Linked DNA regions of Saccharomyces cerevisiae S288C. The gene in region 3 interacts genetically with the main gene of each other region. Each region holds a gene or a part of one and is shown on either strand. Other genes may lie near its edges. The genes, in order: AAH1, REV1, MCM10 and POL31.

The links.
Region 1: mutations in MCM10 (region 3) and AAH1 together harm fitness more than expected from each alone (negative genetic interaction), as found in Saccharomyces cerevisiae (2 studies listed by BioGRID).
Region 2: of MCM10 (region 3) and REV1, changing one suppresses a phenotype caused by changing the other (phenotypic suppression), as found in Saccharomyces cerevisiae (one study listed by BioGRID).
Region 4: mutations in MCM10 (region 3) and POL31 impair growth when combined (synthetic growth defect), as found in Saccharomyces cerevisiae (one study listed by BioGRID).

What each region holds. Positions count from the first base shown.
Region 1 is NC_001146.8:356,839-361,989, reverse strand, and holds AAH1 (adenine deaminase), read right to left. Parts: upstream 2,395-5,151; coding exon 1,351-2,394; downstream 1-1,350. Other genes in the region: THO2 (Tho2p), read left to right, coding at 1-1,066; YNL140C (uncharacterized protein), read left to right, coding at 504-1,073; ammonium permease MEP2, read right to left, coding at 3,038-4,537; YNL143C (uncharacterized protein), read left to right, coding at 4,804-5,151. UniProt on the Saccharomyces cerevisiae protein: Catalyzes the hydrolytic deamination of adenine to hypoxanthine. Plays an important role in the purine salvage pathway and in nitrogen catabolism.
Region 2 is NC_001147.6:979,407-986,047, reverse strand, and holds REV1 (deoxycytidyl transferase), read right to left. Parts: upstream 4,221-6,641; coding exon 1,263-4,220; downstream 1-1,262. Other genes in the region: pyruvate kinase PYK2, read left to right, coding at 1-1,106. UniProt on the Saccharomyces cerevisiae protein: Deoxycytidyl transferase involved in DNA repair. Transfers a dCMP residue from dCTP to the 3'-end of a DNA primer in a template-dependent reaction.
Region 3 is NC_001141.2:59,341-64,960, forward strand, and holds MCM10 (Mcm10p), read right to left. Parts: upstream 3,389-5,620; coding exon 1,673-3,388; downstream 1-1,672. Other genes in the region: ESL1 (Esl1p), read right to left, coding at 1-1,354; MLP2 (Mlp2p), read right to left, coding at 3,688-5,620. UniProt on the Saccharomyces cerevisiae protein: Required for DNA synthesis. Required for entry into or completion of S phase. Involved in DNA replication and seems to participate in the activation of the pre-replication complex (pre-RC) and in transcription elongation.
Region 4 is NC_001142.9:447,033-452,228, reverse strand, and holds POL31 (DNA-directed DNA polymerase delta subunit POL31), read right to left. Parts: upstream 3,028-5,196; coding exon 1,564-3,027; downstream 1-1,563. Other genes in the region: SUI2 (translation initiation factor eIF2 subunit alpha), read right to left, coding at 295-1,209; LSO1 (Lso1p), read left to right, coding at 3,471-3,752; APL1 (Apl1p), read right to left, coding at 4,204-5,196. UniProt on the Saccharomyces cerevisiae protein: DNA polymerase delta (DNA polymerase III) participates in chromosomal DNA replication.

The DNA.
Region 1 (5,151 bases), on a different chromosome or scaffold from region 3:
AAAGCAGTTAGAGCTTAATAAGTCGCAAAGACTTCAAAATGATCCACCCAAAAGTGTTGCAAGCGGCAGTGCTGGATTAAATAGCAAGGATAGATATACTTATTCTCGTAATGAGCCTGTAATCCCAACAAAACCTTCTAGTAGTCAATGGTCATATTCCAAAGTCACCAGGCACGTCGACGATATAAACCATTATTTGGCCACGAACCATTTACAAAAGGCAATTTCCTTAGTAGAGAACGACGATGAAACTCGGAATTTAAGGAAATTATCTAAGCAAAATATGCCAATATTCGACTTTAGAAATTCGACTTTGGAAATATTCGAAAGGTACTTTAGGACACTCATTCAAAATCCTCAAAATCCAGATTTTGCAGAAAAAATTGATTCGCTTAAAAGGTATATTAAAAATATCTCGCGCGAGCCATACCCAGATACGACTAGCTCATATTCTGAAGCTGCTGCTCCTGAATATACCAAAAGATCAAGTAGGTACAGCGGAAATGCTGGAGGCAAAGATGGTTATGGTAGTTCCAACTATAGAGGACCAAGCAATGATCGTTCTGCACCCAAAAATATTAAGCCAATCAGTAGTTATGCACATAAAAGGTCAGAACTACCAACTAGACCTAGTAAAAGTAAAACATATAATGATAGAAGTAGGGCACTTAGACCCACAGGTCCGGACAGGGGCGATGGTTTTGATCAAAGGGATAACCGCTTACGTGAAGAGTATAAGAAAAACAGTTCACAACGTTCACAATTACGGTTTCCTGAAAAGCCATTTCAAGAGGGCAAAGACAGCAGCAAAGCCAACCCTTACCAAGCTTCATCTTACAAGCGCGACTCGCCTTCAGAAAATGAAGAAAAGCCGAATAAAAGATTCAAGAAGGATGAAACAATTAGAAACAAATTTCAAACGCAAGATTATAGAAATACACGAGATAGCGGTGCTGCCCATAGAGCCAATGAAAATCAAAGGTACAACGGAAATAGAAAGAGCAATACTCAGGCGCTTCCGCAAGGTCCCAAGGGTGGGAATTACGTCAGTAGGTACCAGAGGTAATTACTAGTACTTAACATACCCGAGCTGAATTTTAACGTGTACTTTGATAGTTCCCGAATTGTAATCTCGTGAAATACAAAAGGTCCAGCTAATGCTCGTATAATCACTCAAATAAGTTTGTAGAATTCTATTGTATCCTTTCCCACACAAAAGGGGATGTAAAAAGCATCAAAAACATCGAATGAAATTTGTGCATACACATAGTGTTATAAATTTACAAAAAAGCGCTTATGAATCGAAAAAGACTTTCAACAAAAATATTATACAATGTCTTGCAAATGGTACTAATGCGAATATTTAGTGACTACTTCGTCCACTCTACTTAACAAACCGTTCTTTCTTTTATCGTCACACCATGAACCTTTAATGGCGTTCTTAGCGATACGACCCCATGTTTCATGGTCCCAGTGTGGGAAATCTTTCGAAACTTGAGTGTAGACATCTAAGATATAACCACCAAAATAGGCGGGGTCATCAGAATTTAAAGAAAATGGAACATCTCTGTCAAGAAACTTTTGTAGTGGTAACTCTGAAACGGATTGGACTACTTGTAGCTTCACGTTGGAGAGAGGACAAATAGTTAGCATGGTCTGGTCGCGCGACAACCTATCCAATAACTCCTCGTCGTATTGACTGTTGATACCGTGATCGATTCTTGTTACTTGCAACAAGTCTAAAGCATCCGAGACGAATTGAGCGGGGCCTTCTTCACCTGCGTGTGCAGTTAGTTTTAAATCTTTATTCAATGAGGCGGCCTTTCCGTAACATTCAACAAATAAATGTGGGGGAAATGGTTTCTCAGCAGAATCTAATCCTAAGGCAGAGATAGTACCATCTTTAATAAATGGGGTAGCTTCTTCGATAGTTTTCAAACATTCCTCTGGTTCAATGTGTCTTAACAGACACATAATTAGCTTGGATGTAATACCAAATTCAGAGAAGGCTTTGTCACAAGCTCTTTGGAAACCTTTAGTGACTGTTTCTATGGAGATGCCCCTAGATGTATGTGACTGAGGGTCGTAAAACACTTCAGCATGGACCAAGCCTTGTTTGTGAACTTTTTTAAAATAGGCCCACGCCAAATCAAAGAAATCTTGTTCACTAATCAAGACATTAGTACCAATATAATAGTAATCTAAGAAATCCTGCAGATCACGAAACTTCTTATACTTTTCGTTTAATTCCTCGACCGATTTAGGAAAACCTTCAGGTAGAATTATATCGTTTCTTTTAGCTAATGGGAACAATAGGTCAGGTTCTAGAGTACCTTCCAAATGCAAGTGATGCTCACATTTTGGTAACTCCTGTAAAAACTCCACAGAAACCATTATTTTTTTTTTCTTTTCTTTTGTTAGTTCTAATGGTAGTTATTATTTCAAAATAACTATAAATACACAGGCCTGCTTGTCAATTATTCATTTGCAAAAGATGTCGCTTTCATAAGCCTTATATGTTAATTTTTTTCAATCTTCGTTGGCATGCGATGAGGTCAGTTTCCTGCGCCATTTCAGTGCAGTTTCGAGAATTTTAAGATTCAAAAAAAAAAAAAAAAAAAAAAAAAAAAAAAAAAAAAAAAAAGAAAAGAGATGGAAACAGTGAAAGATAAGGCAAAAAGGAAGTATATCAAGGTTTTTACATCAAAATATGTCTTCTATAAGCGATGAAAATTTGCAACCAAAGCAAAATAAACCTTGTGCTCTTTTCCTGTTAACAGCATATATAGGGTATATAGAGGCTTTCTTAAAGAAAATTTCTTGCTATCATGCTCTGGAGATGCTGTATATTATAGTGTGCACAGTTAAAGTCATCGATTATGATAATAACATAAGACAAGAGAAGTAATACTAACGTCTCCCCTCATCATTCGGAGTTATCAAAAAAAGAAAATATATCAAATATTAAAAATAAAATTATTAAATGAAGCGTTACATAAAGATTAAACATAAAATCATAGTCTGCTTGAGTATATCATTATACTATATGGTCAGTGTTCTTAGTAGAAGAAGCGTCGGAAGGCGTAGAATTCTTTTCTGCGTCTGTGTTACCCACAATCTTATCATCAATGTTTTCATGAGGAGGTGGCATTTGTGCCGATGTTTTAGATCTGATTGGTTCTGGGATGTAAGCAGTGGATTCCTCGTATGTAAATTCACCAATTTGAGCAGCGTCGGTACCTAATTCTTCCTCATCAGCACTTAATCTTAGTTTTAAAAATGGAATGGCATTCATAGTTAGAAGCAAGATAGATGTGACAGTAACAGTCCAGGCTAGTGCAGCGCATATACCTGCTAATTGATAACCAACTTGTTTATAGTGATGATTGATCCAGCCACCATCAATTGGACTAATGTAAGAGCCTGCAGTGGCATTTACATAGTCTGCAGCAAAGATACCAGTTAATACAGAACCAATACAACCACCCACACCATGGATAGAGTAACAATCTAGACCATCATCGATGCGCAATAGACTCTTTAAGTCAACAGCAAGGTTACATCCTGCACCAGTAACCACACCAATGACAACGGCTGACCAGATTGGCACGAACCCGGCGGCTGGGGTGATACCCACTAGGCCAGCGATGATACCTGAACACAAACCAACTGTAGTCCACTTTCTTCCGCATCTGAAATAATCGATAACCATCCATGTCAAGCCACCGCAAGCAGCAGCTAAGTTTGTGGACATAATAGAGTACCATGCTCGTATAGTTGCATTACCTGCAGAGCCTCCGTTAAAGAACATCCAACCAAACCATAAGAACACTGTGCCTAAAACCACCGAGGTGACGGAATGTGGTTTGTACTTGGGCATCCCTTTACGTGTAACAGGGTCATTACGCTTACCCAGTATCAAAGCGTAAACTAGACCACCATGTCCAGATGTTAAATGGACACATAAACCACCTGCATAGTCCAAGCTACCCAATTTGACCAACCAACCCTCGGCATTCCAGACCCAGCATGCAATAGGACAATAAACAATAGTCATCCATAAAAACAAGAACACCATCATAGGAAACAACCTTGCCCTCTCGCAGGCACCACCTAGCATTAGGGCACCGGTGACTGCGGCAAACATACCTTGGTAAACGGCAAACAGTATATCGGGAAGAGAACTGACACTAGATGGGGCTCCTAAAACGTTACGAAACCCAAAGAATTCCAAGGTACCAATAAAACCGTTACCTCTAGTGTTGTGTGAGAAAGCTAATGAGTATCCCCAGAAAAACCATTGGAAAATACACACGGCGGAAGCCATCATCGAGGCCCAAAGCAAGGATAAAGCATGCTTTTTCCTGGATAAACCAGAATATAATAAACCGATACCTGGGACCATAATCCACACACCTGCTGAAGCCACACCGATCCATCCCATGTTGGCCAAGTCAAATTGTGTATTCAAATCTGTTGTCAACGAGTTACCACCCGTTCCTTCGCCTGTAGGCGTACCTGTAAAATTGTAAGACATTGTTGATATTGTATTGTAATATATTAAGTATGATATATTACAAAACTAAACTTCTTTCAAAGCTCTGTGCAGACTTATTATTTAAGAAGGATATTTAATTTGAAAGGACGTGAAAGCACGAATGATTACTACCCACTGATGTTTGGTTAGCACATGTGTAACTACTGCTTATATATGGTGCAGAAAAGTGGCTCGGAATGAACACCTCTTGTACTGAATACTTCATTGATAAGGCACAGGGTCTTCACGCCGCTTAGTATTCGTCGATGCGTGAGCAATTGAAGCTTTTTACGAGGGAAATAGTCGATTTTACATTTCTTATCTTATCTGGCTTTGACTATTACCAGACACTCTTGATAAGCAGTAACAGCAGTAAGAAGAGACCGAAGGATTCTTCTTTGTTATCGGAAAAAAAAAAAAAAAAAAAAAAAAAAAAAAAAGATGTCTTATCTTATCTTTCTTATCTTAAAGACCTACCATTTGTTCCTTTTCTATTTTGGCAGCCCGGGTATTCGCAAAGGGAAAAAAACCCAAGACAGCATTCCTTGTTCATTATGACTATTACAAAGCCAGGAATGATTTCGATGGCCGACATGAATTACGTCGTTTCCAAG
Region 2 (6,641 bases), on a different chromosome or scaffold from region 3:
TCGTTCCGGGGAGATTTATATACGTGGACGACGGGATTCTCTCTTTTAAAGTGCTCCAAATCATTGACGAATCTAATTTAAGGGTGCAAGCGGTAAACTCGGGTTATATCGCATCTCATAAAGGTGTTAATCTGCCTAATACCGACGTTGATTTGCCCCCCTTGTCCGCCAAAGACATGAAGGACTTGCAATTCGGAGTCCGCAATGGCATTCACATCGTATTTGCCTCTTTCATAAGAACTTCAGAAGATGTGTTGTCTATCAGAAAAGCGTTGGGTTCTGAAGGGCAAGATATCAAGATTATATCCAAGATAGAAAACCAGCAAGGGTTGGATAATTTTGACGAAATCCTGGAAGTCACGGATGGTGTTATGATAGCGAGAGGCGATTTAGGAATTGAAATCCTGGCACCTGAAGTATTAGCCATTCAAAAAAAGCTGATTGCAAAATGTAATTTGGCGGGCAAACCTGTCATTTGCGCGACTCAGATGCTGGATTCAATGACACACAATCCGAGACCGACAAGGGCTGAAGTATCGGATGTGGGTAACGCTGTGTTGGATGGTGCTGATTGTGTTATGCTTTCTGGAGAAACGGCGAAGGGTGATTATCCGGTGAATGCAGTTAATATTATGGCGGCGACCGCTCTGATTGCTGAAAGTACTATCGCTCATTTGGCTCTTTATGACGATCTCAGAGACGCCACTCCCAAACCTACTTCCACTACGGAAACTGTAGCAGCTGCAGCTACCGCAGCAATCTTGGAGCAAGATGGTAAGGCCATCGTTGTATTATCTACTACAGGGAACACGGCAAGGCTACTGTCGAAGTATAGACCAAGCTGCCCTATCATATTAGTAACAAGACACGCAAGAACGGCAAGAATTGCGCATTTGTATAGAGGTGTTTTCCCATTTCTGTATGAACCGAAACGCCTAGACGACTGGGGTGAGGATGTTCATAGGCGCCTAAAGTTTGGTGTTGAAATGGCGAGGTCTTTCGGAATGGTGGACAACGGTGATACTGTTGTTTCCATTCAAGGATTCAAAGGAGGAGTCGGCCATTCCAATACCTTACGCATTTCTACTGTTGGTCAAGAATTCTAGTAAAAATTAAAGTCCTTATTTTTTTTACTTAATTTTATTTAATTGTCCATTGTGTCAGTTATTTTTTTTTTCTTTGGTAATAATCATGCAGATATTACAGGTAATGTTCGCAAACTGCGTGTTTACTGTATGCTGAAATGTTTTTTTTTTTTTAATTCAAACTTCAAAGTCCATGTCAAGTTTACGCACAGTCTGGTAAGTATGTTTATTTCTGTTTAAAAGTGGAATTATATCATTGAGTAAAATTCTTTCCCACGTTTGGAAGCCTGAATGATCCTGATTTAAAAAGGCGCAGAGATTTAATTCCCTTGATATTAGGTTTGATAAATGAAGAACTAAATGGACTCTATTAGAATCGCAAAGTTTAATCAAATATTTCACGAATAATTTAACATCTTTTTCATGCGGCCCTCCATCACCTAAAGTTTCGGCAACCCATTGTTTCACTAATTGACAAATTTTTTTGAACCGTGTCAGATTTTGGAATTTGATCGGCTGGAATATACTATTTTGGCCCATGAAATGATTTTTCTCGTTCTGTAGGCTCTCTTCTCTCCTTTTTATCTTTTCTTGTAGGTTTCCTAACTTTGTCTGTTGGATTTTTTTCTGAATTCTCAAGTCGTGCCTTACTTCTGCTCGAATTTGGGTTGGTAGTTCATTCATAAACTGTTCTTCCATAGTACTGGGCAAATCATTTACTTCTAATCTGGAAATGGCAAATCCTTTTTTTTTAGAGCTCAATGAGTTTGAAGTCAACCCGGATTCTTTTCTCTTATAATTTCTTTTCTCGAACTCGTTGTTAATGTCATTTTTTACATCTTCCGGTAAGGCTTCGAAAGCTCTGTTCGTCACTATTGTTTTAAACGGTAACCTCAGTTTCAGCTGATTGTTATCCGGACCCACATCAACCAATTTGTTGAATTGTAGAGCAAGACCTCTTAATTCCATTGGAGGGCAGCCCAAAGTTCGATACAAACTTTTCATTTCGGTAGCAATAATTCCAAATTCGTTTGTTGGAATACCTAATCTGCTGCTCCGACTGAATGAGTCGCACCTTCCCATCCCCATATATTTTGGGGGTTCAATTGGAGCGTCTTTACATCTTCTCATCAGTTTTAATGTGATTTGTGACGTTGTTTTGTTTATTTCATTCAATTTTTCTAAAAGATACTGACAACCTCTTTCTATGAACAAGTCTACCTGAGTGATATTTTTAAATCTGATTCCCCAATTGATATCAATTGATAATGATTTTCTTTGTAAGACTTCTTTGGGATCGTACAGTATTTTCAAGCTTTCTTCATCATCTTGGCCTTGTAACGCGAGATGAATCTTCATACCTAACTTAGAGCCGACGCTCGCCTTCAAAGCATCTAAAGTATATCTTTTTCTCAAGTCATTTAAAGAATGTGGGCTATCAAACGTTGATTCTAACCTTGACAGAGTAGAATGCCCAACTCCAGGCAGATCATCTAGTTTGAAACTAGACCAGAATTCTTCAGATAGGTTACTCTTAAACGTGATATTGTAACCATTTGGTTTCGCCATTTTGAGAGCTAGTCTTGCTAACACAAGAGAATCGGAACATCCAATGCTCACTGTGCAACCATTCGTTCCTTGAAAAATTTCTTGGCGTATTTCTTCGCACAGTCTTGCATTTAAGGTATTAGTGTTATGAATATTATCAGGGATTATCCTCACACAAACAGCTTCATCAATAGATATAGGTAAAATCAAATTGAATATGTTCAATCTTTTGAGAGTACTGTAAAAGGCTTCCGATTTTAATTGAAATTGCTCAAAGGTATATGGTAATGATATTAGTTTGATCCCATTTGGCAACATCTTTTCAGCTTGAGACACCCACATTCCATTTTTAATCCCATATGACCTTGCTACATAATTGCAACTAGCTATATCGGAGTTTTTAGTACCATGGCATACCACTATAGGATCCCGTTTAAAATCACATGCTGAGAAACTAGAACTTCTACATAGATACGCAACAGTTGCAAAAAAACAGTCAAAATCGATATGAAAGATAATGTAGGTATCCTTATCCGTAATTTTGGTGTACTTGTGGATGTTTTCATTCAGAAATTTATCTTTCAGATTGGCCTTCCATGCGGAGAGATGATGTAATCTCGAATGAGCAAAATAGGAAGTAAGGAAATCAGGATCATCACAAGCGACTATCCTTTTCGCCTCCAAATTATTGAGATTTACTGGTGACTGCTGTTCTACTGGCAACAATGCCGACCCTACACATTTAGATCCTTTGTGCAGGCTAGTCTCTGAGGGCAATGGAATTGAATTTACGGTTTTACAATTATCTAGTTTTTTTTGCTGTTCATCAAGTTTAGATGTTAACGAGTAATTTTGCCAGGGCAATAATCTTGCTTCTTTGACGCTATCAACTATCCAATCCGGACTGACTACTTTGTAATTTGCAAATTCAATCCTTTTCTTTAATGGTAAATTGGAAGCCACTATGTGAGTAACCGTTTTCTTTGAAGACAAATAGTGTAAAAATTTTCCGCCATGTAAAACTATCATCTCGTGTAATTGCAGTCTTCCAGGTTTGGTGTAGCCATTTATATAGATGACGCAATTTTTGAATATTTTACTGCTTTGACTAGAAATTTGATCTTTATATTGATCTTTTAATATTTGATCTTGCAGGGTTTGTCCGTGCGCCTTCTCGTGGAAATAAGCCTCCCTAGTATACACAGTATTTTTTTTAACATCATCACCATTGCTATCACTTTCCTGGATCTCGATGACGCTACGAGCTATAGGTGAATCTTCGCCACCGCCAAGATCAGCATGTAATTCATCACAGCTAATATTTTTAGTAGTAAATCTTAAAGTACCTGCAGTTGGATTAGAATTATTCTTATTAGTTTGGGAGAGTTGGTTGACATATTCAATTAAGGAATCATCGCTTAACGTAGATAGAAAAGACCTTGCATTCAAGCCGCCGGTCTTTGCTGTTAAATGTGAATCATTGACACTTTGCTGGCTAAGGCAATTGTTTTTATCAGGTGTTTCCCTATTTATAGAGTATTCCAAATCGCTGTCCAATAAATCTACAAGACCACCATGTTCACCCATCGCTGGATATGCCTAGAAATGCAGTATCGATTTATTTTGAGAAAATCTGTCAACTCGTTACTTCTTTGATAGGGAAATCTTTAGTTAAATTTGTTTAAAATTAAGAACCAGGTCTTTAGACTATGCCAAAAGGTATTGGTGCTTAAAGGTTGCCGTAAACTCTAACTCTATATATCTCTAAGCCAATGTTTAAGTTGATGCGATGTGCATGATCACTTCACATTTTTTTCATGATTTTGTTTTCTTCCTTAGCTACTTTTTTCCGTCTTGGTCTGTGTAAAAAAAAAATCGCTTCACTGAAGAAAAATATAAATAAAAAAAGGACATCAGCAAGTTCGTAGTCAATAAATGTGATGAGTAATTTGCGATAATCTACCCCAACTCAAAGCATTCAATTCAAATGAAAGAAGAGTTCGTGAATTTTAATCTGGCTTACAGATTGGATCATAGCTTCTAATATATCTTCCTTTTTATTTTAAAGTGATTAAAATATGTGGATGTCTGCATTAAGGTGAAGGCAGACTATAGTGAAAAATAGTAGCAAAGGCTTCATATAATGAACTACCTAGTTGTATTCAATTGGAATCTGTGAACGCGGCATTAAAAGAATATTTGAGCTTTTTTTGATTGTATTAACCTGAAGCTATCACGGTTTAGACTCATTAAAAGAAAAATATCCGGTTGTATCGGATAACAACACCGCTGTAGTAGCACAGTTTTTTGATCATAGTTTCATTATTTTTTTAAATATGCTTGTATACAGTAATCTAGTTTTGGACGGATTATTCATGTCAGTAAGATTTTACTATCTACTTTAAAATTATCGAAACAGATATCAACTATACATCCACTCATTATTGGCATAGCGAAATAAAATTTATGAATAGGAAGGATATAAAACGAAAATTGAAATCGTTTAGTATTATATGAAACTATTAGTCTTTTCGTTTTCGTCGTCATACTTACATTCTTCTTTTATAAATATTGTTGTGCCTAAGAAACAAAATTAAGTAACTGTCTAAAACGAAGTTGCAAAAAAAGGGGCGAGCTGGGAATTGAACCCAGGGCCTCTCGCATGCTTTGTTCCTCCTGTTTGATCAGGGGGATCGCCCAAAGCGAGAATCATTCCACTAGACCACACGCCCATACAATTTGTGATTTCTCAAAGTTCAAGATGAAGTATTATAATTTTATATTCATTTTCCTCAGTCCCAAAAACGAATGGTTGAAGAGAACTGTTGGAATAAAAATCCACTATCGTCTATCAACTAATAGTTATACTATCAATATATTATCATATACGGTGTTAAGATGATGACACAAGTTATGAGAAGCTGTCATCGAAGTTAGAGGAAGCTGAAGTGCAAGGATTGATAATGTAATAGGATAATGAAACATATAAAACGGAATGAGGAATAATCGTAATATTGGTATATAGAAATATAGATTCCATTATGGGGATTCCTAGACCCTCGAGGAGAACTTCTAGTATATTCTGTATACCTAATATTATAGCCTTTATCAACAATGGAATCCCAACAATTATCTCAACATTCACCCATTTCTCAAGAACATTGTTGAAATGTAGCGCAATAAGTGGTGATTGATACCAACGTTTGCTGCTACGTTAGCAACCTAAACGCTTACACCAAATGTTTAAATTAGTATACTTTTCGAAAATTCGGTGGATATTAGAATAATTTTTAAGATCCTATTGATGATTAAAGCTATAATTGGGTAAAATAAGCATATTCTTGAAGTTCATTACTAAGATATAGAAATCAAGGAAAGGAAACCGATATTTCTACGTAACATTTATTATTTTTCCTTGCATTTTGTGTCGCGTTCTCTTTTATTTCTTTACATTATCAGTCCTTGTATTGCGGCATCCACTAAATCTGATGATTGTTTCTTAATTCCCATGTCATCTTTTTACACAGTATATAATAATATGCTGAATTATACGATATCAAATTTCTTTGGGTGCGATGTAGATGATTCAAATACTCAATAATTATGCATGAAAGAAATCCATTATTCTTGGCAGGAATGCCTCAGGGAATATGGGACCATGACAAGAGGCAACTTAATAGGCATTTACAACCTTTTGATTGAATAATCTAACTATGGGATATAAAGAAGCCTCTAAAAAATTAAATGCCGATAACCTTGATGATTTTCGTATGCTTATTTAATGCGGCTCCCGTCAGCGCCCTGCCGGGTAATATGATTCCCTTTCCAAGTAAGAAGAGCGACAGATAAGCGCGCTTGTATTCATCATACTGCCGCTATGCTGCTTTTCAGTCTGAAAATCGGATGTAATCTGAAAAGCGGATCTGTATTACGATATGATATGGGCAGCCTTTGTGGGTACGATGTCTAGAATTGAAACATTTTTTAATTATATTAATCTTATCGTTT
Region 3 (5,620 bases):
CAATTAATTGAGAATTTCTATGGGCAATTTCATTATTGTTCGCACTACCAGAACTTCTATCTATGAATGCAGATTGATAGATATTTTCAATCAATAACTGTAACGTTTGCTGAGACGGAGTGAAGGGATCCTGACAAAAAACACTTTTTCCCAAGTTTACGAACGCTTCTAAACTGTTCTGTTGAACTGTGGCAATATGATAATATAGTTTTCCGCACCCATATATGTATTTCATTGATTCGGTATACCAATATTCGGCGCTTAGCCTCCAATCTATGAATCCTGATGGGTACAGCGATATTGCCATTCTAGACAAATCACCCAATCTTTGTCTCCACAAAATAGAATATTTCAACGGTATATCCTCAAGCATATTTGAGACAGAGATGAAAGCGTATATAATAAACTGACAACATACCTCTGGGTCCATAAAGTTCGAAAAGTTCTTTAGTACATCCAAGAAGGTTATTATACCATAAACCCACAATCTTTTTTCTATTCTGTAAATATCCAAAATTTCTTGGCCCATAATCAAGTCGTTTATAGGTTGTGTAGTTAATAATGCAGTGATGATGAAATTGATGTAATTTTTGATCAGTTCTGTGTTCAGTCTGTATATTGCCCACAAACTTTTTAGTTCTGTGGTTTGAGAGGTGGTTAAATAAAGGCATCTTTGTTGTAACTCGGTTTCCTGCACCACTATGATTTTATAAATTTCCTGCAGTTTTTTAATAAACGTCTGATTTGGCTGCGCCGAAGGAAGTTGCCTTATCATCGGCGGGGGTGAAGCAGCAACTACAGGAGCTCTTCTAATATCGGATAAAGTTACTTGGCTTTGGGGTTGCGAATTGCTATAAATACCATTTGAAGCGACTAATGGCTCGTCAGCTCTCATTTGTGGATTTGCGTTATCTTCATAAGTGTCTCTAGAAACAACCTTCATATTTCGAGCAAGCATAGTTCTATTCACATAATATGGAGATTTAGGAACATCCATTGTTGGAATAGAACTGGTCTTAACTTGTGGTGTCGATTCCATAACTTTGCGAGAGATGCTCGGTCTTCTAGATGCATCATCAGTTTTGGAGGGTGTGTTTTGTGCAGAGATCTGGCTATTAGTTATTCCATCTATAAATCCTTTCCCTACGGGATCTACAATTCCAGGCACCCTTCTTTTAGCGAACGACGACTCTGGTGTATCATTGTGCGACGAAGAACTATGTCGCTTTTGATGAAGAAATGCGGCGGAGGTCGGGCGCATATCGCTCACAATATGAGTGTGGTTGTTGTTGGATCTAGAATAATCAGTTTCATTACTAGGGTCATCATTCGCCGGCACCATTAGGTCAACCATATTATGCGATATCCGTGGTCTTGTTGTTATGTATTGAACCTAAAAATAACGTTAGATGCTGCCAAAGATCGGCCAAAAACGACTGTAAAGTGAAGTAAAGAGTACAGAATGAAGGATGCGCCCAAGAGGGAGATGTTTTCGGAGCGTTTTGTGTCTCACAAGATGTTCTCTTCTGTTCTTTCTCACTTTAAGGATTGATTCCCTATATTGCAACCAAAATCACTCAATTTTTCATCATAATTTTTCAATCATTACCCGCGCCATTGTCCATCAAAAGTAATACCATTTTGGGGCCCTGAAAAGCACACCAATACTTATTTATATTATCTCAAGATCGCTGGCACTACCGTCAGAAGTTTCTTTAGTTTCCTTGGATCCGAAATGTTTTTGCCAAACTTCTTCGCGATGGCTTCTTTTCTTGAACCATTCGTTCTTTGAAGGTGCGAGAATGACTTTTTCCTTCTTGTAATGCAAGAGATCGTTTATAACAGTTTTTTTTTTACCGAGTAAGTTGTTCTTAGGTTCGCTCCCTGATACAGAAGACTTGAGTACTTGGGAAATTTTTCCATGAGTGGGATCGAATCCTAGGCGTTGGATAAGCCCTGTCTGGAGGGCACTTTCTGTGGTTCGTTTCATTTTCTGTCGCTCTCCGACGCTCTTATCTTCTAATCCGCTGGATTCCCTCCTTCTCATAATTTTGCCTAGTTCGCGGCTCAGTGCTGTCGATTTCTTAGTTTCTATTATTTTCCTTCTTTTATTGTCTAAGTTTGCCAGCATATCTGGATTCTGAAATTTCTCGTCGAAAAATGCTTTGGCAGAATTACTATTCGTAAAATTGTGAGAGCTCTTTTTAAGTCTTTCCTCCTCTTCTGACAGGCGCTTACGAGTACCTTTGATTATATTAAACCCGTTTTCCCCTTTGGCCTTATATAGGCTTGGTTGAGAGTCCACTTTCGTAGGCGCGCCCAAGGCGTACCCACCATTTAATTCAATTCTTTTAGCACTTGTTCCACGAAATTGCACTTCTCTATGGTAATCGCAACACTTATGAAGAGATATGTTAATGGGAGAGCCACATTTTTTGTGAGTCTTTTTATTCACTATGGGACACCAACCTAAATCTCTACTTGAACCTATCTCCAGGATACATTTGAAGTCATGACTAATTCGAAGGTTGAAGGATTTGATAAAATTTCCTCGCCCTGAGGGTCTCCATGGTAGTACTTCTGGGTTTAATATTGCTATCACATCACCCAGGCGAAGATTATAATATCTTTCTACACCCTTTTTCCCGAAGATATAAACATCTAGTGTATGCTGAAAGTCCGTTATGGTGAACATGAAGAATTTGACTGGCTTTTCAGATGATGTAAATTTGATGTCCGATTTGTGGCTAATGAGGCCTACGGTGGCCCAGTTGGCGTATTCAGGCTCTTGAAATTTAGGTGGGCGAATTTTAGCAAAAAGTTTGCCCAACCGAAGGATTTTGATCTCATGCAAAGCCCGTTTTAAGTCATCTTCAGGTATGTACCTCTTTTTAACCCAAAGATTTGAAAAGCTTTCTAATTCGTTTGTGATTATCGGCACATATTTCTTCTCATCGGTACTGAACGTATGTACTCTTGCATTCATCATGCTTTCAAACTTGGCAATTTGTTTATCTTCGTTCTTCTTTGCGTTTTGAAATTTCTCCATAAAGTATGTGGTTGTACTAGCTGGTGGTTTTGGTTGCTGCTGTAATTGAGATAACCTTACTTCATTAATATTCGAACCTTCGAATTTTGTGCCTTGTTGTGTAGCATTATGAGACCCCACTTTCACACGGTTTTTGGTAGGAGATTGAGGTACCTCGATGGCTTCAAAATTAGGATCCTGGGGTTTCTTAAATTCTTGCTTTCTTTTTAATCGTTCCACTAAGGCCTGCCTCTTTCGTTCCATAAATTCAAGTTCTCTCGCGATGGCTTGCTCATCCTCTTCATCAGAAGTAATATTATTGTACGGATCAACCGCTAAAATTTCACGAGGATCATTCATTTCTCCACGAACCAAGTGCTTAATGTGCGTTGAAAATGTGAGGTTGAATTGACAAACTTACGTTCCTTTATCTTCGATGGCCTATAAAGTTGATATTTCTTAGTGGTGTTAGAAAAGGTGGGTTTGCGCATCCAAGAAACCCGCGTGAAAAAAAATGGCAAATAAACCCAAAATTTGTTCATACTTAACTACTAGTACGGATGTGTCATAAATCACTTTATGTCCTCTGTAATGACATTAGTGACATTTAAAATATGTAGATGTTTCATATTTATATAATTACATTGTTTAATATTACATCACTCGTTGGAAGCTTGATCATTTGCTGGACTCTCTTTAACCTTTTTGGTGTCTGGATCAGAAGATGTACCGCTCTCAATTGGCCGTTTAGATGTACTTCCAATTTCTGTTATTTTTGCTCCATCGGTGCTATTGTTAGTTAGATCGGTTACGTTGGAAAAGTTAATCGCCGCTTTGACTGCAACTTCAGGTTGAATATTGAGTGTACGTAGGGGGGCATTCGTATTGATATTAGATTGGGATGCTGTGAATGGGTTCTGAAAACTTTGAAGAGATGATGTATTAGAGGAGAAGAATGGCTTACCAAAACTAAAGGTTGGAATGGCCTTGTTACCAGCAGCGCTACTATCCACGATATTATTTTCTTTATTTGTAACCATTGACTGGCTGTCATTGAAGGAAACGTCATTCTTCACATTCTTCAATTGTTCTTGAGGTTTAAGGTTTTTTTGATTTATAAAGCCAGCGACAGCCGACGGCCTCTCAGAATTCCCCTTCGATGGACTGTTCCATAATTCTTCTTCGGCATCTTCCCCGCTACCTTTGTTATCAAGAAACGTTAAGCTTCCCGCGTTTTCTTTCAATTTCTTTCGAAATTCTTCTTCTAATTCTTCTTTACGCTTACTAATGATCTTTTGTATCCTTTCCTCGCTTGGTAACCTTATTCTTTTCTTTAAATTCTCTTCTGCTTCCTTAATTCTCCTTAACGTTTCATCTTCATATTCCTTTAGCCATTCCTTTTTCAATGTTTCGATATCTTTACTGTATTCTGCTTCTGAGCTTGTACTCTTATTTAAGGTCTCTTGTAATTTTTTTTCAAATTCCTTCGTTCTTTCGTCAATAATTCTGTCCTTTTCTTTCTCCATGTTAACTTTCAATTTCTCAAATGCATCAGATGAGCTATTCGCAGTTTTGAAAATTTGTAACTCCTTTTTGAGTGATTCAATTTCCTCCATTAATGTCCGATAAGTGTCCTTTTCGTGATCTCTCGAGACGTCTTCTGATTGGAGTTCATGTGCTTTGAGCTTCGTATCTAGATCAATAACTTTAGCGTTTTCAAAGTGTAGATCTTGTTCTAATTTGTCTTTAATTGCTTTTAATTCGTTGAGTTCGTTAGTTAAAGCAGCTTGTTGTTTCTTAGATGCGTCCAATTTTTCATGAGCCTGCTTCTTTAGCCTATTGAATTTATTTTCCAAGTCAGCGTTTGCGTTCTCAGCGCTTGAAAGTTTTCCCTTCAAATCACTAATCTCATTAGTTAGCTTTTCAATGTCTTTTTTTTGGGCATCTTTTTGTTGTTGAGATAAGTCCTGGTACCTCTGTTTACATTGCTCCATTTCACTTTCATATACTAAAATTTTGTTAGAATTTATCGAAACTTGTTCTTTTGTTTGTATGAGATCACGCTGTAATCGAGAAATTTCTTCTTGCCTATCATTTAATTGTTTATAAATTTCCCTGTTTTTTTCGGTTACGTTTTTGAGACTCTTTTGTAAGATGGCATTATTCTCTTTTAAAATGTTAACTTGAGTAACTTCTTTCGTGATATCCTTGAATTCGTCAATAATAACTGCAGAGCATTGGTATTCCTTCTCCGATAAAGTCTGGGTTCGTTGCAGGTCATTTATCGTTTTTTCTAAACTATCGTTCTTTTGTTTAACGAATGCCAATTCTCTCTTACAGGTGGTTAACTTCGTCTCTAAAGAATTTCTTTCATGACGTAAGTTTGAAAACAAAGAAACTAGCTTCAAATGATCTTTATCGCCATTATTTGCTGCTGTGTCATCAACCTTTTCAATCAATACCGAATTTTCAACACGCAAGGATTCCGTCTGTTCAATATTAGATATCAATTCTCTTTCATAATCAGCCTTTTCCTCCATCCATTTCCTTTCATGTTTATCGAGTAAATCCTGAGCGCTATACAATGAGGAT
Region 4 (5,196 bases), on a different chromosome or scaffold from region 3:
AAAGGGGGGAGCCTCATATTATTACAGCATCACTACCTTTTGAGGTAAAAATATCTCATGTGAAAAAGATAAATTATAGAGAACCGGCAGGGCATGCTCCACTGACAACCCCGTGGTAACAGAAATTAAATTTTGATTATGATTAAATGGATTGTAATATTTATAATAGCCAAATGTACAAGGTGTATATTGCAAAGAATATGATATGGCAGGATATACGTATTTGTTCTATACAAAATTTTCTAAAACAGTATGACACTTGAAAACACCTAGAAAAATTAGGCGCGGCAATGATTACTCGTCGTCTGACTCATCCTCATCGTCTTCAGAGTCAGATCTATTATCTAATTCTTTGCTTTCTAATAGAGCTTGTAACTCAGCGTCTTCAGTAGCAGTGACAGCCTTTGGTGGCATGGTAATGTTGCAAACACCGCCGTATTTTGTAATAACCTCTGTAATTTTTTCAATAGCGCTTTCCAGTTGTTCAATACCTTTTTGCTTATCCAAGGCTTGGGTGGTCAAAACATATAATGGGGCGGCGACTAATTTAACTTTAACTTGCATTTGTTCTGTGGACATGTCTTCAGCTGATTTTAATGCGTCTTTAATGGCATCGATACCTTCGTAACTAAAACAAGACACTTCAACATCGGCTCTAATCTTTACAGCTTGTGGTGTTAATCTCTTGGAGATATAGTTCTTTAATTCATCTAAAACATCTTTTGATGGCGGTTCAATACCTTCCCAAACAGTTTCGTCAATGATGGATAGTTTGAAAGCTTCGTAAGCGTGACCAAATTTTCGACTTAATGGCCAAGCAATGGTCTTATATAGTTCTTCCAAAGGGATTTGGAATTTTTCGGCACAGTATCTTAAAATGGAATGAACAGTCTTAGATTTTTGGTATTTTTCTTCACATTTAATGATATCTTCAGAAGAAACACGACGTTTGGACAAATCAATATAACCTTTTTCTTTGTCGACACGAAGAACAACGGCGACATCATTTTTACCAACACGAATTAATTTTTGGATTGACCTAATACGTCTACGGGACAATTCACTTAGTAGAATCATACCTTCAATGTTGTCATATTCTAACAATTTAACATAAGCACCCATTTCAGCAATCTGCTGGACGTTAACCATGACGATATCGTCAATTTCTGGGTATTTGTTTTCATAAAATCTGCAATGAGAAGTGGACATTATTTGGTGTATTATAGAAGGTGCGTGAGGCAGCAGAAAAGACACAAAAATATGAAGACAAAAACTGATTAGTAAACAGATTGCACTTTACTCTTTAATGACCTAGGAAATAAACAATGGTTGAAAATTTGTAAATGCGATTTTATACTACTATTTCATCAGATTTGTGCTTTCTCTTCTTCTCTTTTTCGCCTCTTCGAAGAAAAAATTTTTCTCCGACTGCGGGTAAGAAAAAACGCTCATAGTTTTTCTACCAGCTGTGACAAGAAACGTATTTTGAGCTGAACGATGAATGCTCACTTTTACATATAAAACTTAATTGCATATCTATGTGGAAATTATTCCTTGTTTTATTTAAATGTCAATCTTGACCGTCTCTGCTTCTAACGTTTCCAAATCCAGTAATATTATCATCCCAGTAGAACTGAATTCAGGGACAGATATTATCTTTATGTTCTTACCACCTATTTCCACTACTCTTGTTCCAAAATATGGCTGGTTTGCCACAATGTAAACGTGGGGCCACTTATCCAATACAAATGGATCCTTATCAGTGTACGGATAACACCATAAGGTATCAGGTGCGGTGGGCGCGATGTTTTGCCATTTCATTGTACATTCCATAAGGTCCAGGCGATGCTCTATATCGTCTTTGAAATCATTACTCTCGCCCTCCTCGACCTTGTTTTCACTTTCTCCGTTATCATTTGATGGTATTACGTATTTACAAATATCATTGATATTTTTGCCTGAAACGGCTAGAACGTCTACGCCATTATAGCTAAACTCATATGGGTTGGTCACTAAATTCAAAATTTCTTTGTTAGAACCGTTGAAGTATGATTCTAGGGACTTATCAAACAATGATTTGTGGAAAGGCTGTTGCGGTAGAGATTTGTCACTTGGATCATTGGTTCCGGGCATAATATCAACAGATATAGATGGCAAAATGTTGTGTAGAAATTTACTGAACTCAGTTAGAGAAATCATCAATTCGTCTTTGTTCACGCTTTTAATGTCGAAGTCAACAGAGTTGCCGCATATCAGTAATCTACCAATTAGAGAAATGTCGTCAATTTTGTTATTGATTCTCCCCATCAAAAATTCTCTCAAAATCTCCAATCTCAATAGCCTATCAGGTGATGTATTATTGAGGTTTAACCCAGAAACAAGAGCAATTTTTCCCCTGGTGGGGCAGGTAGCAATTGGTGCAGGGAAAGGATTTTGTGGTAAAGGAGTGGGGTAGCATATGTCTAAAACTTGAAATGTCCCGGCTTCAGCTTCCATACCCAGTATACCTACAACAACACCCGTGATGAAGGGTGTAGACCGAATAAAATCTCCCACTAGAAGCACTCTCCCACTTTCATCTTCGAGCATAATTTCATCAGAACCACCCTCTTTATCAGTATAACTTTTAGTTAAATCTGGTGCACCATATGTATCATTGATCACTTCGTCCAGTACGTTTGGTTTATATTTCATCTCGCAATATATGGATCCTACGCACCAACATGGTTGGTTTCCCTGAATATCTAACACTTTGTCCTTTTTTAGAACTAATTGGCCATTCAAGGTAAAGCCCGCATCCCATCTCTTGTCACATTCTTTTAAGACGCGTTCTCTGAAAGTCTTTAGACGGTATTGATAAATGTGGTAGTACTGAGAACCGTAGTCACGTTTTTTATAGCATAGTTGGAATGGATTCGATTTGTTGTAAAGATTGTCGTCAACAATTCTTACTCTCGTTCGTGGTTGGGACAAGTTTTCATCTTGGAGACTTCTATCCTCGTTGAACTTTGTTAACAATGCGTCCATTGCCCTTCACTTCCATTTTTGCAGGAAAGATTCAGCTATAGTTCGCTTATTGCAATGGGATTTCAAAAATAGTTTATATTTTAACTTTTGAAATTAATCAGACGCGTCTGATTAATCGTATAACATGATATAAATCTAGAGTTAGTATTGGCGGCTATTTTGCTTTTCCTCTGGTTTTCCTTTCCCTTTGACACCCTTTTTGCCACTTAACTACTGTATAAGAGTGGGTAAAGCACACCCACAAAGCATTGAACGACAGATTGATATCAACAGGCTGAAATAGAACAATCGAGAATGTTGCACCCTTTTTTCCAATCTAAGCACTTGCGTACATATATATATATATATAGGATAATGTGTAGTCGTATTATTAACCGCCTTTTGGAAGTTTGCTAACCGCATAGTTGTCATTAGAAACCACCAAACATAGTGAAGAAGCGAACATGCATAATACTGGCAAGAGATACTCAGAAACTGCCAAAAAAGTGGCAGCAGGAAGAGCAAGAAAACGTAGGCAAGCTTACGAAAAGGACCAACTAGAGAAACAACAACTAGAAGCTCAAGAAGCTCAGAGGTGGGAAGAAGGTGCGAGAACCCCTAACCAGAAGAAGCTGATTATGGAACAAAAAAAGACAGAGAAGCTAAGAGCCAAAAAGGAAAGAGACCAATTACTAGCCGCCGAAGAGGAAGCTTTAGGTAAGGGAGGCAGGGGAAAAAGATACTGAAATGACGGAAAACGAGAATATGGAGCAGAGAGCAACTTTTAGAGCTTTACCCGTTAAAAGGTCAAATCGAGGCTTCCTGCCTTTGTCTGATTTTAGTAGTACCGGAAGGTTTATTACGCCCAAGAACAGTGCTTGAATTGAGTTCTCGGGACACGGGAAAGACAATGGAAGAAAAATTTACATTCAGTAGCCTTATATATGAAATGCTGCCAAGCCACGTCTTTATAAGTAGATAATGTCCCATGAGCTGAACTATGGGAATTTATGACGCAGTTCATTGTATATATATTACATTAACTCTTTAGTTTAACATCTGAATTGTTTTATAAAATAACTTTTTGAATTTTTTTATGATCGCTTAGTTAAGTCTATTATATCAGGTTTTTTCATTCATCATAATTGTTCGTTAAATATGAGTATATTTAAATACAGGAATTAGTATCATTTGCAGTCACGAAAAGGGCCGTTTCATAGAGAGTTTTCTTAATAAAGTTGAGGGTTTCCGTGATAGTTTTGAGGGGTTGTTTGAACTAGATTTACGCTTACCTTTCAACTGATTAATTTTTTCAGCGGGCTTATCATAATCATCCATCATAGCAGTCTTTCTGGACTTCGTCGAGGACTGGCTTTCTGAATTTTGACGGTCCCTATTAGCTCCAGTTGGAGGAAATGAGTTACCTACAACTGGCAAGAGGTCTTTGTTTGGATTCAAAATAGGACTTTGTGGTAGCAGTTTGGTTTTATTCAATCTAAAGATATGAGAAACAGGTTTTAAGTAAATCGATACTATTGTACCAATGTTTAGCTCCAATTCCTCCAAAACGGTGGGATCTAATTTCGTGTTCATTTCTATTAGTGGCAACTCTCCGTCCAGTACTGATTTTAAAGATTCAAAAGTTATCGCGTTTGATATACGAGACGTTTTCGTTAATGACAGCAATCTCCAATACATCAGTGTTTTATCTCTTAAGTCAGGATTATTTTCGTGATCGATGCATCCTTTTAATAAATCCATACAAAGTTCTTCAGTTTCCTTTGTAGGACTTCTGATGAAGAATTTTATTGCTGAGTTCAGAATGGAAAATTGCACTTCTAGCGTCTCACTAAACATGTTTGAGGAAAAAACTCTAAATAACTCCAGGTAGTTTGGAATTACATCCGAATATTGCGTTATTATCCAGATCATAGCGTTTTTTGATTCAGGTTCCTGTACAACTTCAGTGTGTTTGACTAGTTCTGTTACGTTTGCTTTAAAATTATTGGGATATTTCCTCAAAATATTTCTGAAAACCGAAATAATCTCCTGGACGACATAATCAACACCGAATTCTAACAAATCTAGTAGAACAGCGACACAATCGTGTACAGAGTCTTCATCTAGCTTAACAGCCAGATTACCAATGGCTCTGACTGATTTCCTTGACATTTGAATATCAATATCTGT